Caenorhabditis elegans: one gene and its partner. The protein of the gene in region 2 purifies or fractionates together with the protein of the main gene of each other region. This does not show direct contact. Each region holds a gene or a part of one and is shown on either strand. Other genes may lie near its edges. The genes, in order: pph-4.1 and ppm-2.

Region 1 (11,628 bases), 7.7 Mb from region 2:
AATTAAATTTTAAAGTGTTCAAATAATAGATAAAATAATATAAATATATATATATATTGTACGATTTTGACTGTTTCATGTCTAATTTTTGACGATGAATGGTAAATTTTACAAAGCTATTGGATCTTCGAAAATTAGTCTTGCAGCCTCTAATAGTCTTGCACCCCTACGGGTCAATTGAAAATTAGTCTTGCATGCAAGACTAATAGAGGAAATACGGTATATTATTGAAACGTGAAAACGCGCTCCACGGATAATAAGAAACGCTCCACCCACGAACCATGGGTCTCGTTAGGTTTTTGGTCGAAAAACCGGTCTGAATTCCCGATTTTTCCGCCAAATTCTTAACGAGACTTCAATTGCCCGTGGAGCGCGTTTTCTGCGTCCTTATAACTACCCCGTGAGCCAAGAAATTGACGACAAACAATGGACGTGCCCGTTGTGCACAACTTTTCGGAAATTCGAACCATGGAGAATCAGTGAGACAGATTTTCGAAATACGATCGTCTCCGCCAAACTTTTTGAGCTGAAATTTAATGAAATTATATGATTTTGGCGGGTCTCGACGCGACAAATTTTTGTTAAATAGAAAAATGTGTGCGCCTTTAAAGAGTACTGTAATTTAATTTTTCACACGATTTTTTTTCGAATAAAAATGCATTTTTAACTATTTTCCGCTGTTTTTAAATTTGAAAACAGATTTCAGGACTTTTTTCGGCAAAAAAAAAGCGAAAAAACGGGGTTTTTAAGGCAAAATTCCATGTTTTCCTCAATTTTGGGTCTCGAAGCGACAAATTTTTGTTGAATACAAAAAAGTGTGCGCCTTTAAAGAGTACTGTAGTTTTAAATTTTAGTTTCTGTGAAATTTATCGATTTTTCGTAGTTTTTCTAAATAAAAATATTTTTTAATCGAAAAAATTTAAAAAAAATCGCGAAAACTAAATTAAAAAAATTTTTTTCGATTTTTTTTCAAAAGATTAAAAAATATTTTTATTTAGAAAAACTACGAAAACTCGATAAATTTCACAGAAACAAAAATTAGAAATTACAGTAATCTTTAAAGGCGCATACCTTTTTTTCTTATTCCTTGAACACAATTTTGTCGTGGCGAGACCTGAAACAGGGGTTTTTGCCTTAAAAAATCGCGAAAATGTCGATTTTTCGCCAAAAAAAGCTGAAAATAGTTTAAAATCCCATTTTTATTCAAAAAATTCAGAAAAACAGGGATTTTCGCCTTAAAAATCCGGAAATATGTCGTTTTTTCGCTTTTTTTGCCAAAAAAAAAGCTGAAAATATATTAAAATTGCATTTTCCTTTAAAAAAATCAGAAAAACAGGGATTTTTGCCTTAAAAAATCGGAGAAAAGTCGTTTTTTCGCTCTTTTTTAGCCAAAAAAAAGCTGAAAACAGTTTAAATCCCATTTTTATTCAAAAATTCAAAAAAACAGGGTTTTTTTGCCTTAAAAAATCAAAAAAAAAGTCGATTTTTTCACTCTTTTTTGCCAAAAAAAAAGTGCTGAAAACAGTTTAAAATCGCATTTTTATCCAAAAACTCAGAAAAACAGGGTTTTATGGCTTAAAAATTCGGAAAAAGTCAATTTTTTCGTTCATTTTTAGCCAAAAAAAAGCTGAAAACAGTTTAAAATCGCATTTTTATTCAAAAATTCAGAAAAACAGGGATTTTCGCCTTAAAAATCCGGAAATATGTCGTTTTTTCGCTCTTTTTTGCCAAAAAAAAAGCTGAAAATAGATTAAAATTGCATTTTCCTTTAAAAAATTCAGAAAAACAGGGATTTTCGCCTTGAAAAATCGGAAAAACATCGATTTTTTCGCTTTTTTTTGCCAAAAAAGTGCTGAAAATCCCACCACACTGGCTGTGTCGTAACCACCACGACTGTGAGCCACCACGTAGATGCTCTTAGCATTCGATGGCTCAATACACGCTATCCAGACAGTTTCAGCGTGCTCGACAGGTGTGCGGGAGTACTGAAAATCGATTTTTCAGCGAATTTTTCGAAATTTCCCGGGTTTTTTCACACCTTCAAATCCTGATCTTTACTTTCATTCAAATTAGTGTTCATCACCACAACACCCCATCCATTTTCAATAGCTCTTTCGATATACGGAATCTGAGTTCCACACTCCAAATTATCATTGATAATGAGTCTACGAGCCCATTGTCCGGCTCTGACGACACCGCTTCCGTGGATCAATACTAGAAGATTTGCAGCTTTTTTGAAATTTTTCGACACAAAAATGAAGCTTAGATCCTCATCCTCGTCGGTTTTTCCTGGAAGTTTTAGCTGAAAAAAAATTTTTTTTTTTGATTTTTAAATTTTTTTTTCCATTTTTTAAAAATTTCTTAATTTACCGCCTTTCTCTTCAGCCCACAACGTGTCTCCAGAAGCTCATAAACTTCCAGATCAACTGCTTCTCCCAGTTCTTCATAATCCTCCTGTGTAGTGAATTTGAAGGGTTTTTTGTCCTTCTCCGTTTTCAGCACGCCTTTTTCGTCGAAAAAGTACCCGAGTTTCGCCAAACTTGACATTGTTCACTGAAATTTATTTGAATTATTCGCAAAAAAACTGGTTAGAACAGAGAAAATTTCCGAAAAAACAATTTTTAAAATTAAAAAAAAAAAAAAATTTCCTGGCCGCGACCGAGGTTTCTCTCGTCCACACGGCGCAATCGCGCTCTGTTGGCAATCTGGCACAATGCCAATATTACACTGAATTTATATTTTTGCACGAAAAACTCTGGATTTAAAGTCGATTTCGCCTGTTTTCATTGGTTTTTTTCGTTTTTTCGTTTTTAAATTAAATATTAATTCAAAAAATCGATTTACAACGTATTTTACAGCTTTTAATGGCTCTGGCGTGCACCGACTCTGCAAATTCCACATTTTCACGTGTCGACTCACCGACTTCCGGCCCATCGGACCAGCTAACAACTCATGACTTGGATCGGTAGCAGTTTTGATATAAAAACAATAAAATATCAACAAAAAAAAAATATTTTCAGCCACATAGAAAAGCTGATGAGATGTGAGCTCATCGCGGAGCAAGATGTCAAAACACTTTGCGCAAAAGCTCGTGAAATCCTAGCGGAAGAGGGCAACGTCCAGGTTATCGATTCTCCGGTGACGGTTGGTTGGATAAAATCGATTTTTAAATCAAAATTTCCATTTTAAATTCTATTTCCAGATCTGCGGAGACATCCACGGCCAGTTCTACGATTTAATGGAGCTCTTCAAAGTCGGCGGACCAGTGCCGAACACCAACTATTTGTTCCTCGGAGATTTCGTGGATCGAGGCTTCTATTCTGTGGAGGTGCCCCCGCTTTTTTGCAATTTTCCTGGCGAAAAAATTGCAAAAAAAACTCCCAAAAAATCGATATTTTTCCAGACATTCCTTCTACTTCTCGCACTGAAAGCTCGCTATCCGGATCGAATGATGTTGATCCGTGGAAATCACGAAAGTCGCCAGATTACTCAAGTCTACGGGTTCTATGATGAATGCCTTCGGAAATATGGAAATGCGTCTGTTTGGAAACATTGTACCGAAGTTTTCGACTACTTATCACTTGCCGCTGTAATTGATGGGAAGGTTTTCTGTGTTCATGGTGGATTATCCCCGTCGATTAGTACTATGGATCAGATTCGTGTTATTGATCGGAAGCAGGAGGTAAAACGCAAAAAATATGCTGTTTTTAATGGAATTTTGCTTTGAATTTCGGTTAAAATTCGGTGAATTACAATTTTTTAAATTTCCGGCATTTTGCCGAATTTGCCGGAAAGTTTTAAAATTTTCGAAAATGAAAATAACCGACAAATCTGCAAATTGCCGGAATTTAAAAATTTCCGGCAAATCAGCAAACCGGCAAATTTGCCCAAAATGAAAATAACCGGCAAATCGACAAATTGCCGGAATTAAAAATTTCTGGCAAATCGACAAACTGCCGTAATGAAACTTTCTGGCAAATCGACAAATTGCCGAAAATGAAAATAACCGGCAAATCGACAAATTGCCGGAATTAAAATTTTCTGGCAAATCGGCAAATGTTCGAATTAAAAAATTTGTGGCAAATTGGCGAAATTGAAAATTTCCGGCAAATCGAAAAATTGCCGGAATTAAAAAATTCCGGCAAATCGGCAAATTGCCGTAATTAAAAATTTCTGGCAAATCGGAAAATTGCCATGTTTAAAAATTTTCGGCAAATCGGAAAATTGCCGAAATTGAAAATTTCCGGCAATTCGTCAAATTGCCGGAATTTAAAAATTTCCGGCAAGTCGGAAATTTGCCGAATTCGCCGGAAAAACGGCAAATTGCCGGAATTAAAAATTTCCGGCAAATCGGCAAATTGCTGGAATTGATAATTTCCGGCAAATCGGCAAATTGCTGGAATTGATAATTTCCGGCAAATCGGCAAATTGCCGGAATTTAAAAATTTCCGGCAAGTCGGAAATTTGCCGAATTCGCCGGAAAAACGGCAAATTGCCGGAATTAAAAATTTCCGGCAAATCGACAAACTGCCGAAAATGAAAATTTCTGGCAAATCGGCAAATTGCTGGAATTGATAATTTCCGGCAAATTTCCGGAATTAAGATTTTCTGGCAAATCGGCAATTTGTCGATCATGAAAATAACCGTCAAATCGACAAATTTCCGGAATTAAAATTTTCTGGCAAATCGGCAAATTGCCGAAAATGAAAATAACCAGAAAATCGGCAAATTTCCGAAAATTTCCGTTTAAAAAAAAATTTCCGTTTTTTTCATTAAAAATTTTTTTTTTTAATTTTCAGACTTTTTTCTAATTTTTTCTCATCAAAATCGACCAATTTAATTTTTATTTCATTTATTTCGATTTTTTCCCCGAAAAATACTAAAAAATTCAAAAAATAGTCTCAAAATCAGAAAAAAACCACAAAAACGCGATTTTTGTCTTCAACCAATCAGCGATTCGCTCCGCCCACTTTTCAACCAATCAGATGGAGTGGGCGGAGTTTGAGTTCTCATTTTGGAGGGAATTCAAAATTGAAAAATCTTTTTATTTTTCTGAATTTGATACTATTTCGGATATTTTGAAGCGAAATTTCAAAATTTACGTTAAATTTTTCGAGAAATCACTTTTTTCCAGCGGGGCGAAGGTTTTGCAAGTCTGCGGTTTGCTATATTTCGATTTACGGAGAATTTTGTAATACACACGGACAAGCGTCGATTAATTTTTTAATTTTTTCTAATAGTAAATTTACAGTTTTGGGCCATTTTTGCCAATTTTTTTTGGTGTTCAACATTAAAAATTGGGTCCATATATATATATTTTTTGAATAGTGTTTACAAAAAAAATTACAGAACTGAAGAACAATTCGAAAAAAAAAAAAAAACGCTTATCCACGTGTAGCACAAACTCCACCGTAAATCGACAGAAATCAAACCGCGCCGCAGGTTTGCAAAACCACCGTTCCGCCTCAAAAATTGAAAAAAAAATCAATTTTTTAATCAAATTTTGTTCGTTTTGATAGAAAAACGTATAAATTTGTGCTAAAAAAGCGAAAAAAAATTCTGAAAATTTCCAGGTTCCCCACGACGGTCCAATGTGTGATCTACTGTGGTCGGACCCCGAAGAAGGAAATGTTGGATGGGGCCTAAGTCCACGCGGAGCCGGTTATCTATTCGGAGCGGACGCGTCGAAAACGTTTTGCGAAACGAACGGAGTCGATTTGATCTGTAGAGCTCATCAATTGGTTATGGAAGGATATAAATGGCATTTCAACGAGAAAGTGCTCACTGTTTGGTCGGCGCCCAACTATTGTTATCGGTACGGGATGGATTTGGAAAAAAAACGGAAATTTTTTTTTCGTGAAAAAGACGAAAAATTAAAATTTTTGGTCACTTTTTTATCATTTAAAGTATAATTTTTAGGAAAAAATACAATTTTTTTCTGAAAATTTGAATTTTCCCGCTAAAATTTGTTTCCAAAAAATTTAAATTTTCCCGCCAAAATTTGATTCCAAAAAAATTCAAATTTTCCGGCCAAAATTTGTTTCCAAAAAATTTGAATTTTCCCGCCAAAATTTGTTTCCAAAAAATTTGAATTTTCCCGCCAAAATTTGTTTCCAAAAAATTTGAATTTTCCGGCCAAAATTTGTTTCCAAAAAATTTGAATTTTCCCGTCAAAATATGTTTTTAAAAGAAAATTTAAATTTTCCCGCCAAAATTTGTTTCCAGAAAATTTGAATTTTCCCGCCAAAATTTGTTTCCAAAAAATTTAAATTTTCCCGCCAAAATTTGTTTCCAAAAAATTTGAATTTTCCCGCCAAAATTTGTTTCCAAAAAATTTGAATTTTCCGGCCAAAATTTGTTTCCAAAAAATTTGAATTTTCCCGTCAAAATATGTTTTTAAAAGAAAATTTAAATTTTCCCGCCAAAATTTGTTTCCAGAAAATTTGAATTTTCCCGCCAAAATTTGTTTCCAGAAAATTTAAATTTTCCCGCCAAAATTTGTTTCCAGAAAATTTGAATTTTCCCGCCAAAATTTGATTCCAGAAAATTTGAATTTTCCCGCCAAAATTTGTTTCCAAAAAATTTGAATTTTCCCGCCAAAATTTGTTTCCAAAAAATTTGAATTTTCCCGCCAAAATTTGTTTCCAAAAAATTTGAATTTTCCCGCCAAAATTTGTTTCCAAAAAATTTGAATTTTCCCGCCAAAATTTGTTTCCAAAAAAATTTACACTTCCCGCCAAAATTTGTTTCCAAAAAATTTGAATTTTCCCGTCAAAATATGTTTTTAAAAGAAAATTTAAATTTTCCCGCCAAAATTTGTTTCCAGAAAATTTGAATTTTCCCGCCAAAATTTGTTTCCAAAAAATTTGAATTTTCCCGCCAAAATTTGTTTCCAAAAAATTTGAATTTTCCCGTCAAAATATGTTTTTAAAAGAAAATTTAAATTTTCCCGCCAAAATTTGTTTCCAAAAAATTCAAATTTTCCCGCCAAAATTTGTTTCCAAAAAATTTGAATTTTCCGGCCAAAATTTGTTTCCAAAAAATTTGAATTTTCCCGTCAAAATATGTTTTTAAAAGAAAATTTAAATTTTCCCGCCAAAATTTGTTTCCAGAAAATTTGAATTTTCCCGCCAAAATTTGTTTCCAAAAAATTTGAATTTTCCCGTCAAAATATGTTTTTAAAAGAAAATTTAAATTTTCCCGCCAAAATTTGTTTCCAAAAAATTTAAATTTTCCCGCCAAAATTTGTTTCCAGAAAATTTGAATTTTCCCGCCAAAATTTGTTTCCAAAAAATTTGAATTTTCCCGCCAAAATTTGTTTCCAAAAAATTTGAATTTTCCCGTCAAAATATGTTTTTAAAAGAAAATTTAAATTTTCCCGCCAAAATTTGTTTCCAGAAAATTTGAATTTTCCCGCCAAAATTTGATTCCAGAAAATTTGAATTTTCCCGCCAAAATTTGTTTCCAGAAAATTTGAATTTTCCCGCCAAAATTTGTTTCCAAAAAATTTGAATTTTCCCGCCAAAATTTGTTTCCAAAAAATTTGAATTTTCCCGTCAAAATATGTTTTTAAAAGAAAATTTAAATTTTCCCGCCAAAATTTGTTTCCAAAAAATTCAAATTTTCCGGCCAAAATTTGTTTCCAAAAAATTTGAATTTTCCCGCCAAAATTTGTTTCCAAAAAATTTGAATTTTCCGGCCAAAATTTGTTTCCAAAAAATTTGAATTTTCCCGTCAAAATATGTTTTTAAAAGAAAATTTAAATTTTCCCGCCAAAATTTGTTTCCAGAAAATTTGAATTTTCCCGCCAAAATTTGATTCCAGAAAATTTGAATTTTCCCGCCAAAATTTGTTTCCAAAAAATTTGAATTTTCCCGCCAAAATTTGTTTCCAAAAAATTTGAATTTTCCCGCCAAAATTTGTTTCCAAAAAATTTGAATTTTCCCGCCAAAATTTGTTTCCAAAAAAATTTAAACTTCCCGCCAAAATTTGTTTCCAAAAAATTTGAATTTTCCCGTCAAAATATGTTTTTAAAAGAAAATTTAAATTTTCCCGCCAAAATTTGTTTCCAGAAAATTTGAATTTTCCCGCCAAAATTTGATTCCAGAAAATTTGAATTTTCCCGCCAAAATTTGTTTCCAAAAAATTTGAATTTTCCCGCCAAACTTTGTTCCCAAAAAATTTGAATTTTCCCGCCAAAATTTGTTTCCAAAAAATTTAAATTTTCCCGCCAAAATTTGTTTCCAGAAAATTTAAAATTTTCCCGCCAAAATCACGTAGTGCCAGAGTGTCCCATTTCGGTTTGATCTACAAAAATGCGGGAGAAGTGACGCACTGATTTTGCATGATTAAGAACGTGTTGACGTCACATTTTTTGGACAAAAAAATCCCGCATTTTTTGTAGATCAAACCCAAAAATTTGTTTCAAAAGAAAAATTGAATTTCCCGGAAAACTTGAGCTTTTTTTGCAGTAAAAAAAAACTTAATGAAAATTTTCCAGATGCGGCAACGTGGCGGCAATTCTCGAGCTCGACGAGAATCTCAACAAGGAATTCACAATTTTCGAAGCTGCTCCACAAGAAAATCGCGGAGCACCGGCCAAAAAACCGCACGCCGACTATTTCCTCTAATTTTTTCTCGAAATTTTCTCGAAATTTCTTTCTCGCCCAAAAATTCCGAAGAATCTCCCCCTTTTATATCGCCGAAACACCATTTTTTTCCTTTTTTTTTTGCTCCCACAAAAATATTTCAATATTTAATTATTATTTTCCACACACACACACACATTTTTCTGTAAATGTCCACCCCCCTCCAAATTTTACGGATTTATTTTTTTTTCGACAAAAAAAAGTATTAAAATTTATTTCATGCTATTCATTTTTAAAACCGATTTGATTTGAAACAAAAAAAAACAATTAACCGTATTTGGGGAGTGAGAAATGGGAAAAAAATAAAACATGAAAATGGAATTTTTCACAGAAAAAATCGAAGTAAAATACAATTGATTGGATAAAATGGGAAAGCTGCGACCAATCAGGTGGAGTGGGCGGAGTGGGCGGAGTTCAAAGTCGCTGATTGGTCGGTGAGAAATTGAGAAAAAAATGGATTTTTGAAGCTTTAAATATAACATTTTGGATAAAAATAACTAGTTTTCAAAGATTTTTTAATTTTTTAATATTTTTTTCGCTCAAAAAATCCTTCAGCTTGGCTCAAATTGCTGGAAATTCTCATCAAAAGCCTGCTGCTCGGCAAGCTTGGCACCATCCATGTATCGGTTCAGTTCTCTTGTGATTTGATTGAGTACCACTTTAATCGCATTCGCCTCCCTCAGCTCAACCTCCTCCTTTTTGAGATTCAACTGATGGTCGGCGATCTCGAAAGCCGTCTTCGCACGGGATTTTTTCGAAGCAAACGTATTTTGAGGTAGTCCTGCGATTTTTTTGACACTCGTGTATTGTCCGTAGTCCTGTTCGGTTTTGTTGAAGGCCTGAAAATGTTGAGAATTGGGGAAAAAATTTGATTTTTCACAAAAAAAAAATTTTTTTAAAGTTTTTTTGCCAGTTTTTCTTATGTTTTTTATCACGGATTTCTGGTTTCCCTCCATAAATTGAAATGGAAGAGTTTTTGCCGAATTAGGCCAGGCCATATCTGGGGTAGATTTACGGCGCGCGTTGCGTGTCGCGTCGCGGCTCGATTGTAAAACTAAATGTATTTGTCCGTGTGGAGTACACGTTGTCCGGCGGGGGTGATTGTCAATGGAGCGCGAAAAAATCAATGAGGAAGGCCAGAAGCCCGTGAAAAAGAAAAAATTTAAAAAAAAACTATATTTGATAGTGTTTTTGGATTTTTTGTTTAGTTTAAATTTTTACTTTTTTTTTGTTGCTATTTTGCCAGTTTTTCTTATGTTTTTTATTATCAAAAATCGATAAAAATTGGATTGTTTTGTTTTTTTTACATTTTTTTCGATTTTTCAAAAAAAAAAAGCCTTAAAATTTTGGCAATTTTTCATATTTTTAGAAAAAAAAACTGATTTTTTTGTAAATTTTCAAACCATTGTTTTCCGATTTCATCTATCCCCACACGGGCCCTTTCTGGCCTTCCTCATTGGATTTTTTTTCGCGCTCCATTGATAATCGCCTGCCGGACTCCACACGGACAAATACATTTAGTTTTACAATCGAGCCACGACGCGACACGCAACGCGCCGTAAATCTACCCCAGATATGGCCTGGCCTAGTTCGGCAAAAAACTCTTTCATTTCAATTCATGAGGAAAGCCAGAAATCAGAAATCGTGAAAAATGAAAAATAAAAAATAAAGTATTTTTTAATTTTTTATTTTTTCAAAAATTGATAAAAATTGGATTTTTTAAGAAATTTTTTTTTCGATTTTTTTAGAAAAAAATTTATTTTTTTGTTCATTTTTTTCCAATTTTTTCCAATTTTATCAATTTCACAACCGCTCCGCGCGCCCGCGCGGTCATGGCCGTGGCCGATGTTTTACCTCTTCCAACTGCACCACTTCTCCATTATTGTCATATTGAACTTGCTCGACAGCCTCGGCTTTCGATCCTTGCAATTGATCGTAAAACAGCTCCAGGCTTCCATATGGGAAGTTATTCCCCTGTACTGCGAAAATATTAGTCTCGTAGGCCGCCAATAGGCCATTCTCTTGCATCTCATTCTGACGCTTGGCTTCTTGAACTTTTTCTCTGAGCATTTCCAGCGTCTGCTTGAGCTCTTCCTTGCTATTGTTGCGATTTTTTACGCAATTCTTGGCATTTGCACGATTTTGCTCTTTTTTGCGCTCCAGCTTCTCCTTTTCTGTCTGAAATTATTTAATTTATTACCATTATTAATTCCAAAAAAATTTGAAAATTCGTCGTTTCATCAATTTTCCAGCGTTATTATTTTCCGAGAAACAAAAGTTTTTTGAAAATTTGCAGAAAGTACCGTCGCCGCACAGAAAAAGAGGCGGAGCCTAATTTTGCAACCCTGCGGCACGGGTTTTTTTTGTTGATTTTTAAAATTTTTTCTGTTTAACATTTTAATTCGAAAAAGGGAATAAATCAGGCATAATCAAAAGTTTTTTAAGCGAAAAATCAACAAAAAACCGTGCCGCAGGCTTGCAAAATTAGGCTCCGCCTCTTTTTCTGTGCGACGATGTTCTTTTTTGCAAAATTCATGGAAAAAATTCAAAAATTCTTAGTTTATCCATTTTTCATCGTCTACTTTTCCAAATAAAAATAAAAAAGTTTTGCAAAAATCAGCGTCGCCGCACAGAAAAAGAGGCGGAGCCTAATTTTGTAAGCCTGCGGCACGGTTAAAAAAAATTTTCAATATAATTTTGATTTTCATGGTTTTATTCTTTTTGTTCTAACGAAAGTGTGAAAATGTGAAAAAATCAACAAAAAACCGTGCGGCAGGGATGCGAAATTAGGCTCCGCCCATTTTTCTGCGTCCTTTTTGCAAAATTCACGGAAAATCGAACTTATTGTTAGTGAAAAAGCACTTAAATTCTGAAAAATAGCGAGAAAAAATTGCAAAAATTTGGAAAAAAGCAACGTCGCCGCACAGAAAAAGAGGCGGAGCCTAATTTCGCAACCCTGTCGCACGGTTTTACCTCCATT
Region 2 (9,507 bases):
GTCTTTTTCAACTGATAATAGAGCTTCTATAAATGACATTCCAGGTAAACTAGAATTGACCTTATCACGCATGATGTCATACTTTCAAATGCCGTACTTAACTAGAATAAAAAATAAAAATGAGATCATAACCTGCAAAAAACTATAAAAAGGCGAAATTCTAGACAGCGGATATACATGTATTTGGAAGGAAGATTGGACGTAAGAGGAAGAAGAAAAATAAGAAGAAATAGTGAGCGAAAGCGTAGGGGGAGAAACAACGTGCCTTTGCTCCATCAGCATCGTCGGAGGAGCCCCATCGACATTTCAGTAGAAAGAAGAAAAAGAAGACCGAAAAAGAAAGAGAGAGAGAGAAGCTTCTTCTTTTCATGAGCCATTTCTTTCTCTCTTATCGTCGTTGCTCATCGTACGAGACGCAGAATATTTTGGACGTTGGGGACGACGACTTCAAATCGATTCAAGCCGCCTGACTCTCCCCCGTGTGTGGTTCTCCTTTTTAGAGCAAGTGCGGAGAGAGAGGGGAGTGAGTGGGGGCGAGCAACTATAGCATTGCTGTGCTCCCGAGCTCCTCGAGAAAAAAACGAGAATCAATAGGTCCTAGATGGATGGACGGACAAAAAAAAAAAACGAAAAGTTTTTTTTCGGCGACACTTGGGAATGGTGACGTTTATTCGGATGATTCCTCGTTTCATTTTTTCAGACAAACATGAGTGTTTTGGTATGGAAATTCTGAAAATCTGGAACATTTCAAAACTTGGTTTGTTTTGTTCAGTTTGGAGAAGGATTCGGCGAATTTTGAATCGAAATTTGAAAATTAGTTGTGGAAATATGTTTTATTTAAAAAACACCGTTCTGGTAAAAATGGTTCTTTGATCTTTGTAACTTAACCAAAATTTGTCGTGTCGAGACTGGCTACTATAGTTTAGAGACAAAGAAAACAACGTTTCGACACTTGGCGATAATTATATGTTGAGCTTTTAATTGAATTAAATGAAGTTTTCATTCCAATCTGCACAAAAATATGCTTACGAGAATAATGTATAGAGTATTTATATAGAGAGAAAAAGCTCAAAACTTGAAAAAACGTCTGCAGATTGTAATGTGTTTTATGTATGCGTCATAGGGTGTTCTGCACGTGTAGAACATGTTTCGTGTTGCTGGAGCAAAATGCAAAGTACCCCTAATTAGTTGCACTTTACAATTCCCTGAAACAATTGGACTGGACGAAGAGTCAAACTCTTTCTTTCTTTCGGAATAGTAATGACGACGCCAACGCAAACTAAATTTGCTCGTGGAATATGGTGTATTGAGTTGGTATGCCAACATTATACAAGTTGACCTAAAAACAATGAACGGCAGTTCAGAGAAATTGTATTATATGGACGCATGTCAAAAAAATTTTTCGTGTCGAGGCCGAGTACCGTATTTCTGGTGCAAAAATCCGTGTAATACAAAAAATAAACAACTTCTCCATAAAACAGAAAAAAAATTTCACGTTAAAAAAAACTAACTTTTAAAACACTAACAAAGGTCAATGTCGTCGATTTGTTATCAGACAATCAATCAATATGCAAATCAATTATTCTCGATTTTCGAAACTTGAAAAGCAACTCGGACCGCCCGTTCTTCTGCTCATCAACTAATAAGATGCCCTGGTGAGTTAAGATTTTTACCAACGCAGTTAATTCCTGATGTGTTCATCAAGAACCTCATAGAATTGACATTATGGAGGCACGCCAACGAAATCAGGCAGAATGTGCCCCTTACGAATTATCGTTTTCGTAATTTAGGCATTGTGCCCTGTCTTCGATGGTTCGGGTTTATTGTGCCCACTGATGCATTCTGTGCTCATTGCAAATGAACTATAAATTCTAAAATTTCAAAATTTCAGTCAAAAGAAGTCAAACCCAACGGAATTGCACATCTCCACTGGCCGCGAGATCGTTCAACGGAACTTTGTGTTCCGCAACACCACTGGCAAGGACTTCCTGCTGAAGTTGCATGCTACGAATGAAGCCGTCACCTTCCCAACGGAAGTTTTCCGTTTTCCACCATTGGCTCATCGTGCCATCCAGTTCCGTGTGAACTCATCAAAGCTCTCCCAATGGGACAAGATGAATCTTTTGATCAAAGGATACGTGTTGCCGATCTATGCGAAGAGCCTCAAGCAGTTCATTGATCAGAAGAAAACTGCAGGAACTAAGGAGCAAGAGGCATTCTCATTGTCTGTCAAGTTCACGGATCAGTTCTCGGCTCCCCAGACAGTCATCAACTTGCCAGGATATGCCACGTGTATCGAGTCGACTGATTATCCGGTTGACGTGGAAGAATTGGACACTACAACTGCAGTCAACATCGAAAGAGGTACAGATTGATGCTTTGGTTCAAACTAATTAAAATCTTTCGATTTCAGATGTCTCCACTGCTGTTCCAATTGGTTCAATGATGGGATTTGTTGAGGAGTACAAACGTCGTCAATTGAACAAAGGATGCTGGTTTTCCAACTACATCTGTGGAACTGAAAAGCAACCGGAGAAGCAGTCAATGAGATCTTCTCGTAGATCAAGCCGTTCGTCGAATCATTCTGCAAAGAGCTCAAAGGCTTGCCGTATTCAGGCTAATAAAAAGAACAAAAGTGATGTCAATGTGTGCCTTGAAGCAACTCCGTGTGGTGGATCAACTATTCAAGCTTAGATTGAACTGTGAATGGCACTTTTGTATGATTTAATGAAATTGACTTGGTCGGGTTTCTTGAATATTTTCAGTAGCTTGCACTAACTATAAGCTGAAACATGTAATGTTAAAGAGACAATTATGCCTCTTCCATTTTTGGAGATCATTACGTCGCCTTTCTTGGAATTTCAAGGAGGAATGAGGCTTCTGATAACTGTCTTGAAAAACTAAATGAAGTCACACGGTGTTTGGTAAGTTCAGTGGTACGGTGAATGTAACTTAACAATTTTCGAAGCGCCTACAGAAAGGTGTGCGCCTTTAAAATAATACTGTAGCTCCCAGATCTTCATTTTTACGAAAATTTCCATACATTGTCTTACAATGTTTTGCAATCACACAAAATAACCTATTTTCAGATCTTCCATGTTTCTTCCAATTGCACCGTCGAAAGTTATTGCCTTTTTTATTTTGTAGGAAAAATTGAATAACATTCAATCATAAATTTTTTTAATCATAATCATAAAATCAATGGGAAGAACAAAAAAATGTGAAAAGAGACAAAAAGAAGAAAATACAATTGTCTAATACACATTGAAGCACTAATATTTCGAGTATTTCAGTATAAAACGAGTCATCTCACACTTTCAATGCTTGGGAAACAAAGACGCGTCATGGAAAGTGGACGGCTGATAAAAAATCATATTAAAAATGGGAGAGTAGGAATAAGACAAAAAATAAAATTTGAAAAAGGGATATGCAAAAGTTGGCGGGATGAACAATAGAGGACAACTTTTCATGTAGTGAAATTCCTGAATTTTTTCCAGATAACTCACTGCAATCAATTCATTACAATTCTAGAGAGATTTTGGCATTTAAATTTTTTTGAAATTATTCGAAAGGTATTTCAACCGGAAAATCTGTGAATGAAGAATGGGGGAAGAACAAAGAAAGTAAAATGCTATAAAAAGCAAGAAAAATTATATTGTTAACGTGCTCTATAAGGAATATTAAATTTTGGGTGGTTTTTGTTTTGTGAAGAAAATTTTTTGTGAAACATGATAATTGAGCAATATAAAAAACCAAAAGCAATGCAAGATAAAAAAGTAAATTCAGCACTATCACAGGGGGAAATCGTGTTATTTAATATTCGATATTTACACACCAAATATTACTCCGAAATTTTGCGAATTTTCTAAACTTGGAAGTTGGCTGGCGCTGGTTCATTGTCATCCTCCTCTTCTTCTTGATTCGCAGCGTTTACCCGTTGTTCTGAAATTTGAATATTTAATTTTTGAGAATTCGCGAAGCTTTTTCAACTAAAACCTCCATCAAAGTTGTTTATCACACGCGAAATATCTTGCTGAATTTGATTTTGATCTCCATCCTCGTTATTCTTCAAAAAGAAACACATCGTTTTGTTCGTCGAATTTCTGATTTACACAGATATTCATTCATTTGGTTAGTATTTAGAAGAAGAAGCACAACTATTCTAAAAAGGTGTTCTTTTTGAGAAACTAGTTTAATTCTATAAATTTATGTGATACTAACTACTGAAAAAATGAAAAAAAGAGGAAGAAGCAGAAATAATTTTCAAAAAAAAACTCACAACACCCGTAAATACCGCTGGGCGGGCACATTTCGTGAAAAGTGTATCTGGGGATTGTCCATGAAGAAGTCCCACGAGAACAACCTGAAAAATAAATATTAAATTTTTTAAATGTGTATATTTCGTTAAAATTCAACATTTTAATTTAAAGTCACATGCCGTTTTTCTTAGTAGGTCTCACCACGATTTCAACTACCATAGTCTAAAGATCTTGCAAATTACTGTAGTTTTTTTTTAAATTTGGCTGATTTGGAATCTTCAAAGATTTTTATTGATTATCTTACAATTTGTTAAAATTTAAGTGTTTCAAATTTTTTTGTTCCAGTTTAGTTTCTCATTAAAAGTTTTAACGAAAACTTATGAAAATTTCGAAGTTTGAATTTACTGTATATTTATATTTCAAAACATAAAATAAAGCTGATAAAGTGTTTAAAAATTTATTTTTGAAAAAATCAAACTTACAGTCATATTATCGCATCCGAGACCACCCATCTGACAATCTGGAGCCAAGCACCGAGTGAGAAGCTCTTCGCAAATCTGAAAATGAGAGAGAATACGAGATATTTACTTTATTTTAATCAACTTACCGATTGTGGATCCCTCTTCTCAGCAAGCTTCTCACGAACAAAATCTACGACTTCCTGATTTGTCATTACATCCCAAATACCATCACATGCAAGAACAATAAACTCGTGATCCGGTGTCAGCTTGTCAGTGATCACATCCGGGAATGCTGAAATTAAAGAACTTTTTTTAATTTTTAATTTCAAATTATTCTCACCAGTGACAATTTGCTCCTCAGCAGGCTTTGTGTCACAATTTTTGAATGCAAAATCTCCGAGAGCACGGGAAAGTGCCAAATTACCATTGACACGATTGAACTCAACCCATCCACCGGCGGCAATGATACGTCGAGCTTCGGTTTCATGAGATGGCTTGTGATCGAATGAAAGTGGACGAGCTTCTCCAACAACTGAGGATACTGCACGAGAGTCACCGGCGTTTCCTGAAAAATGGAGAAAAATTAAAAATTGACATTTAAAAATATTAAATCCTGGTCTTCCCTATACAGTTTAAATAAATATTTAATTTCAACGTTTTTTTCTATGTCACATAAACAAATCTGTGAAGTTTGAAGCTTGTAGGGATTACTGTGGCTGAGATCGTGGTGGGACCCACTCAGAAGTATTAAAAAATCAGCGTACGATTTTTACAACTTTATGATACACAGTTATCACAAATGTGTGCGTAATCAAAAATTAAAATTTTTGAAAAAATATGGAAATGTGTTTTTATTTTCTGTACCAATAATTTTTCTCCTTTTTTAAAGATAACTTTTGTAATACCGTGAAAGTTCAAAATCTAATAAAATTTCGAACAATATGAATTCTAATACTGCAAAATTCGAAGCTTGGAAGTTAATTTTTTATCGATTTTTACTGAAAACTGTTAGTCTTAGTATTGTGATTTTTTTGAAAAATACTCAGTGTCTTTAACATTTCCTCAATTTCCTTCCATTGACGTTTCAAGGTCAAAGTGCAAATCCGTGTCTCTTACCACAATAAACATCTCCCTCCTTTATCAATACAACAACTGCTGTCGTTCCACTAACATCATCCTTTGTCTCTTCATCAACTCTCATCTGTTGATCCAATTCTAGGAATCCTTTTTCGATTGCTTCTTTCATATTTCCCTCGGAAAATTCCTTCTGTGCGACGACTTTTTTGTGAAGATTAATTCCGGAATATTGTGAAACTTTCGATCCACCGTGTCCATCGTAGACAGCAAAGAATGCACATTTTGGATCATCAGGAAGAGAAAGGAGATGTGTATGGGCATCTTCCATGTCTGAAAAAAAAGAACATTTAGAACAATTTATTGAACTAATTATCATTTTTGAAGATAGTGAAGCTAATGGATTTTCAAGTCGCTAAGTACCTAAAAATGATGAAAATGATGAAAATGAGCTAAGGAGTTCTGTCTGAAGAGAAAGGGACTAATATTCGCTGATTTTTTTTTTTAATTTAGACTAAACATTAAAACAAATTAATTTCGCTATGTTATTTCTTGATTACAAACGTTTAAAATGGAAGTAAACGCTTAACAATATCCTAAATTCCTAAATATCCTAATTTATTTTATCACATTTTTGCTCTGATAACTTTCTTACCAACTCTCCATCCCTGCATACAACTGCTACCGACCAAATAATTCTCATTGGCGCATGACGCCGACTCTTTTTTAGTAACTGGCTCACTGAGTGTTTGTCCCATACTTCTGAAAATTGATTTTTATTTTATTTCAGTCTAAGTGCACTAAACAGTACTTTCAGCGGGAAAATTATGATGTTTGAACGATAGAAAAATGGGAAAGAGATGAAAAGACGAAAAAAATGCGAAAATATTTGAACGAAAAATGATCGAAGGGGGCGTAAGGTTATCACAATTTCAATGCTACCTGTTCTTCAATAAGGAAAGACTGATAGAACGTGTGTCACGTGATCAAAAGATAAAATGGAAAGCGTTTCCGAGAGACAGAAGAAAATTATGGAATTTTTCGATAGTCTATTTTCCAACAAAAAAGAAGTTACTGATAAATTTTTTGAATTGTTCGAAAAATTGTATTATCACAAATTTAACGGAGCAAAGTTCAAAATCGATGATGAAATTTGCATAATTTTGAATAAAAATTGAAAAAGAATAGTAGTACTGTACTAAAGGCGCAACGTGGTTAGCGAGTGGGTCTCACGACGAAAGATCTACAAGGAGTTTATTTAAAGTATCAGGCCTGGTTTTCTAAATCACTTGCTCATATTTTCTTTTGGGAAGTTTATTTCCGAAGAAAAATTGCGAAACAACTACATGATGTTCCCAAATTTAAATTTCGATAATTTCAAAAATGATTCCCAATTTTCAAAAATGTTGTATCCAAAATGCCCGCCGCCGCCGCCGCCGCGACTATTAACCCTCACAGCAAATAAAGAAAAGTTGAAAAAATAAAACGGCAAGACAAGCACAGTGATTTTATTGTATTCTAACCGATAAAAGTTTTCGTCTCAAGACCACGTGCTAGCAGGAAAAAAACGGCGGTCGGCCGGGAAATAAAAATGTGACACCAAGTTTCGGTTCTTCTTCGTTGCGTCGTTGGACGTCCCCGCGTCGCATCGAAACAAACATTGATACCGAGACACAAAAAGTGACGAGAGAAAAGACCGACAAACGGACACTAGGCTGCCAGGCGAAAATCAATAGGTAGTGAGAGTGTGTGAAGGTGAGAGGCACAGACATTCCGTTTCTTCTGTGACCACGGAAAATCACATGGCGCTGTGCGGGGAAACCCCCTCATGTGCGGGAACAACCCGATGCAGTTGCGCTCTAATCGACGTATGAAAAATCAAGGCAGTTTATCACGTTGACCAGGTTATCATTGGGGGAGAGTGATCAGAAGACTACAAAGGTATCGTTGTTGTTAAAATTGTTGAAATTCAAAATTTTAAAATAGCAACAACAAGTATTTTCAATAATATATGCTAGTTCCAGTGTACTTGTCAATAAAAATCTAGAAATGACGTGATTGTTTTATGTTGCTTTATGGAATTTATCATGTAAAATGTTCAACAATTTAGAAATAAATGTACTTAAGGAACAAAGCGATATATGAAACATTGAGATAGGAACGATGTATCTGAGACACAAAACCTATAAAGACCAATTTTCAAACTATCGCACAGATTGTGTAATAAATGTCACTGCAATCTGTGTGATGATGGTTTCTTACATTCAAATTATTATCAAGAATAGTGGTTTGGAAATTACGGTTGCCAAACATGCTACTAATGACGCACATCAGGTTTCTGGATGAAAGAAAATTTGAAAACTGAGCAAGCTTAGTTTAAAGGTGGAATACGGTCAATTGGGACTTCATGATAAACCTCCCAAATGAGATGACAGAGCAAAATATTATCAGAGGTTAGAAAAATCTCCAATTTTGGTCAATTCACAGTTATCATTAATATTTACCCTCGCCCATTTTTTTGGTGCCGCACTTGAAGTTTCTCCATTTTGGCTCAAATTTTCAAGTGAAAATTATTTTTGTTGAATTTAAGACATGAAATAAATGTTTACACAGAAATGATACCTTTTTTTTTGAAAATTGGAGACTAGACGAAATTTTGAAAAATGTAATTTGTTGGGTATCTACGTGTACCTAACCCTCAACGTGGATATGAAGATCGTGTAACGTGAACTCATTATCTATGTATACTAACTTTCTATTCATTCCTTAGTTATGTAATAATAAACTACTCGTCTTCGCCTCCTTGTTCGGCCTCGAATATATAACATTATTCAAACGAGAACATCTATCACAATTGAAAATGTGCCAAAATTAGCAATTTCCATCAAACTAGATACAGTTGTTTTGTTTTTATTTTGTAGTATTTTGGCATTTTGCACTAGCGTTATTCCTCCTTTAAACTTCAATTATAAAATCACATATCTAAATTTTCAAAAAAAATATTTTAGCAATTTGCAAATAGAGACACAAGCAATATAAATAACCATCAAAGCGTGGATCATGTTTTGAAATAACTGTAAAAAATGACAATTTTAGAAAACATTTACAACATCATTCTTTAACAAAGTTCCAGAAATGCAACAGAAAGGATGTCTCATTGTGAGAGTTGATGTTATCAGTCCTCACATGAACATAATTGACGTCTCATTTCCGGTTATGACGAGCAATTTCGTAACTCTCGATTTCCAAAACTTTCGATTTTTCCCAAATATTTAGTGATTCATATAACAATAACCATTCTTATTTTCATAATTCTTTGTTTGTGTCCCGCTTCTTTTTATTATTCTTTAGCAGTTATTTGTTCAGGATTTCTCATGTCTTTCGTATAAATTATATTCTTCACAGTTTTGGATTCTAAAATGAAAGTGTCTGGTAATACTTTAGTTCTTTCGATTTATTCTCGTTTTATTCTTTTGATCACGTTAAGCTATGCTGTAAGTTTTCTTTTTTAAAGATATTCTGTATGAAGCGGGATAGAATTGTTTTGAATTTTTTAAAATATTTTTGAATTTTTTCTCATTTATCAACGCGACTCCTATAAAAGTTCACTAAATTAAAAAAGTCTTATTTGTTCAGTGTCCTCCAAGTCTTGATAGTTTGAATCTTCCACCACCAGTAATTCATAGAGAATGCCTAACAAGAAACAGCTGCCA

Evidence for each region.
Region 1: the proteins of ppm-2 (region 2) and pph-4.1 fractionate together in Caenorhabditis elegans (co-fractionation; one large-scale study listed by BioGRID). This does not show direct contact.

The regions. Positions count from the first base shown.
Region 1 is NC_003281.10:12,342,567-12,354,194, reverse strand, and holds pph-4.1 (Serine/threonine-protein phosphatase 4 catalytic subunit 1), read left to right. Parts: upstream 1-2,858; 5' UTR 2,859-2,864; coding exon 2,865-2,965; intron 2,966-3,020; coding exon 3,021-3,144; intron 3,145-3,202; coding exon 3,203-3,328; intron 3,329-3,403; coding exon 3,404-3,682; intron 3,683-5,573; coding exon 5,574-5,815; intron 5,816-8,500; coding exon 8,501-8,630; 3' UTR 8,631-8,872; downstream 8,873-11,628. Other genes in the region: FAM172 family protein homolog Y75B8A.31, read right to left, coding at 398-526, 1,866-1,985, 2,039-2,302, 2,371-2,547; zip-1 (BZIP domain-containing protein), read right to left, coding at 9,200-9,487, 10,503-10,826. UniProt on the Caenorhabditis elegans protein: Protein phosphatase which plays an essential role in meiosis and in early embryonic mitosis.
Region 2 is NC_003281.10:4,647,543-4,657,049, reverse strand, and holds ppm-2 (putative protein phosphatase 2C T23F11.1), read right to left. Parts: upstream 6,557-9,507; 5' UTR 6,553-6,556; coding exon 6,450-6,552; intron 6,128-6,449; coding exon 5,837-6,127; intron 5,286-5,836; coding exon 5,061-5,285; intron 5,013-5,060; coding exon 4,867-5,012; intron 4,817-4,866; coding exon 4,742-4,816; intron 4,364-4,741; coding exon 4,280-4,363; intron 4,067-4,279; coding exon 3,997-4,066; intron 3,943-3,996; coding exon 3,866-3,942; 3' UTR 3,164-3,865; downstream 1-3,163. Other genes in the region: T23F11.2 (Major sperm protein), read left to right, coding at 1,648-1,655, 1,892-2,364, 2,414-2,694; dbd-10 (DB domain-containing protein), read left to right, coding at 9,214-9,288, 9,431-9,507.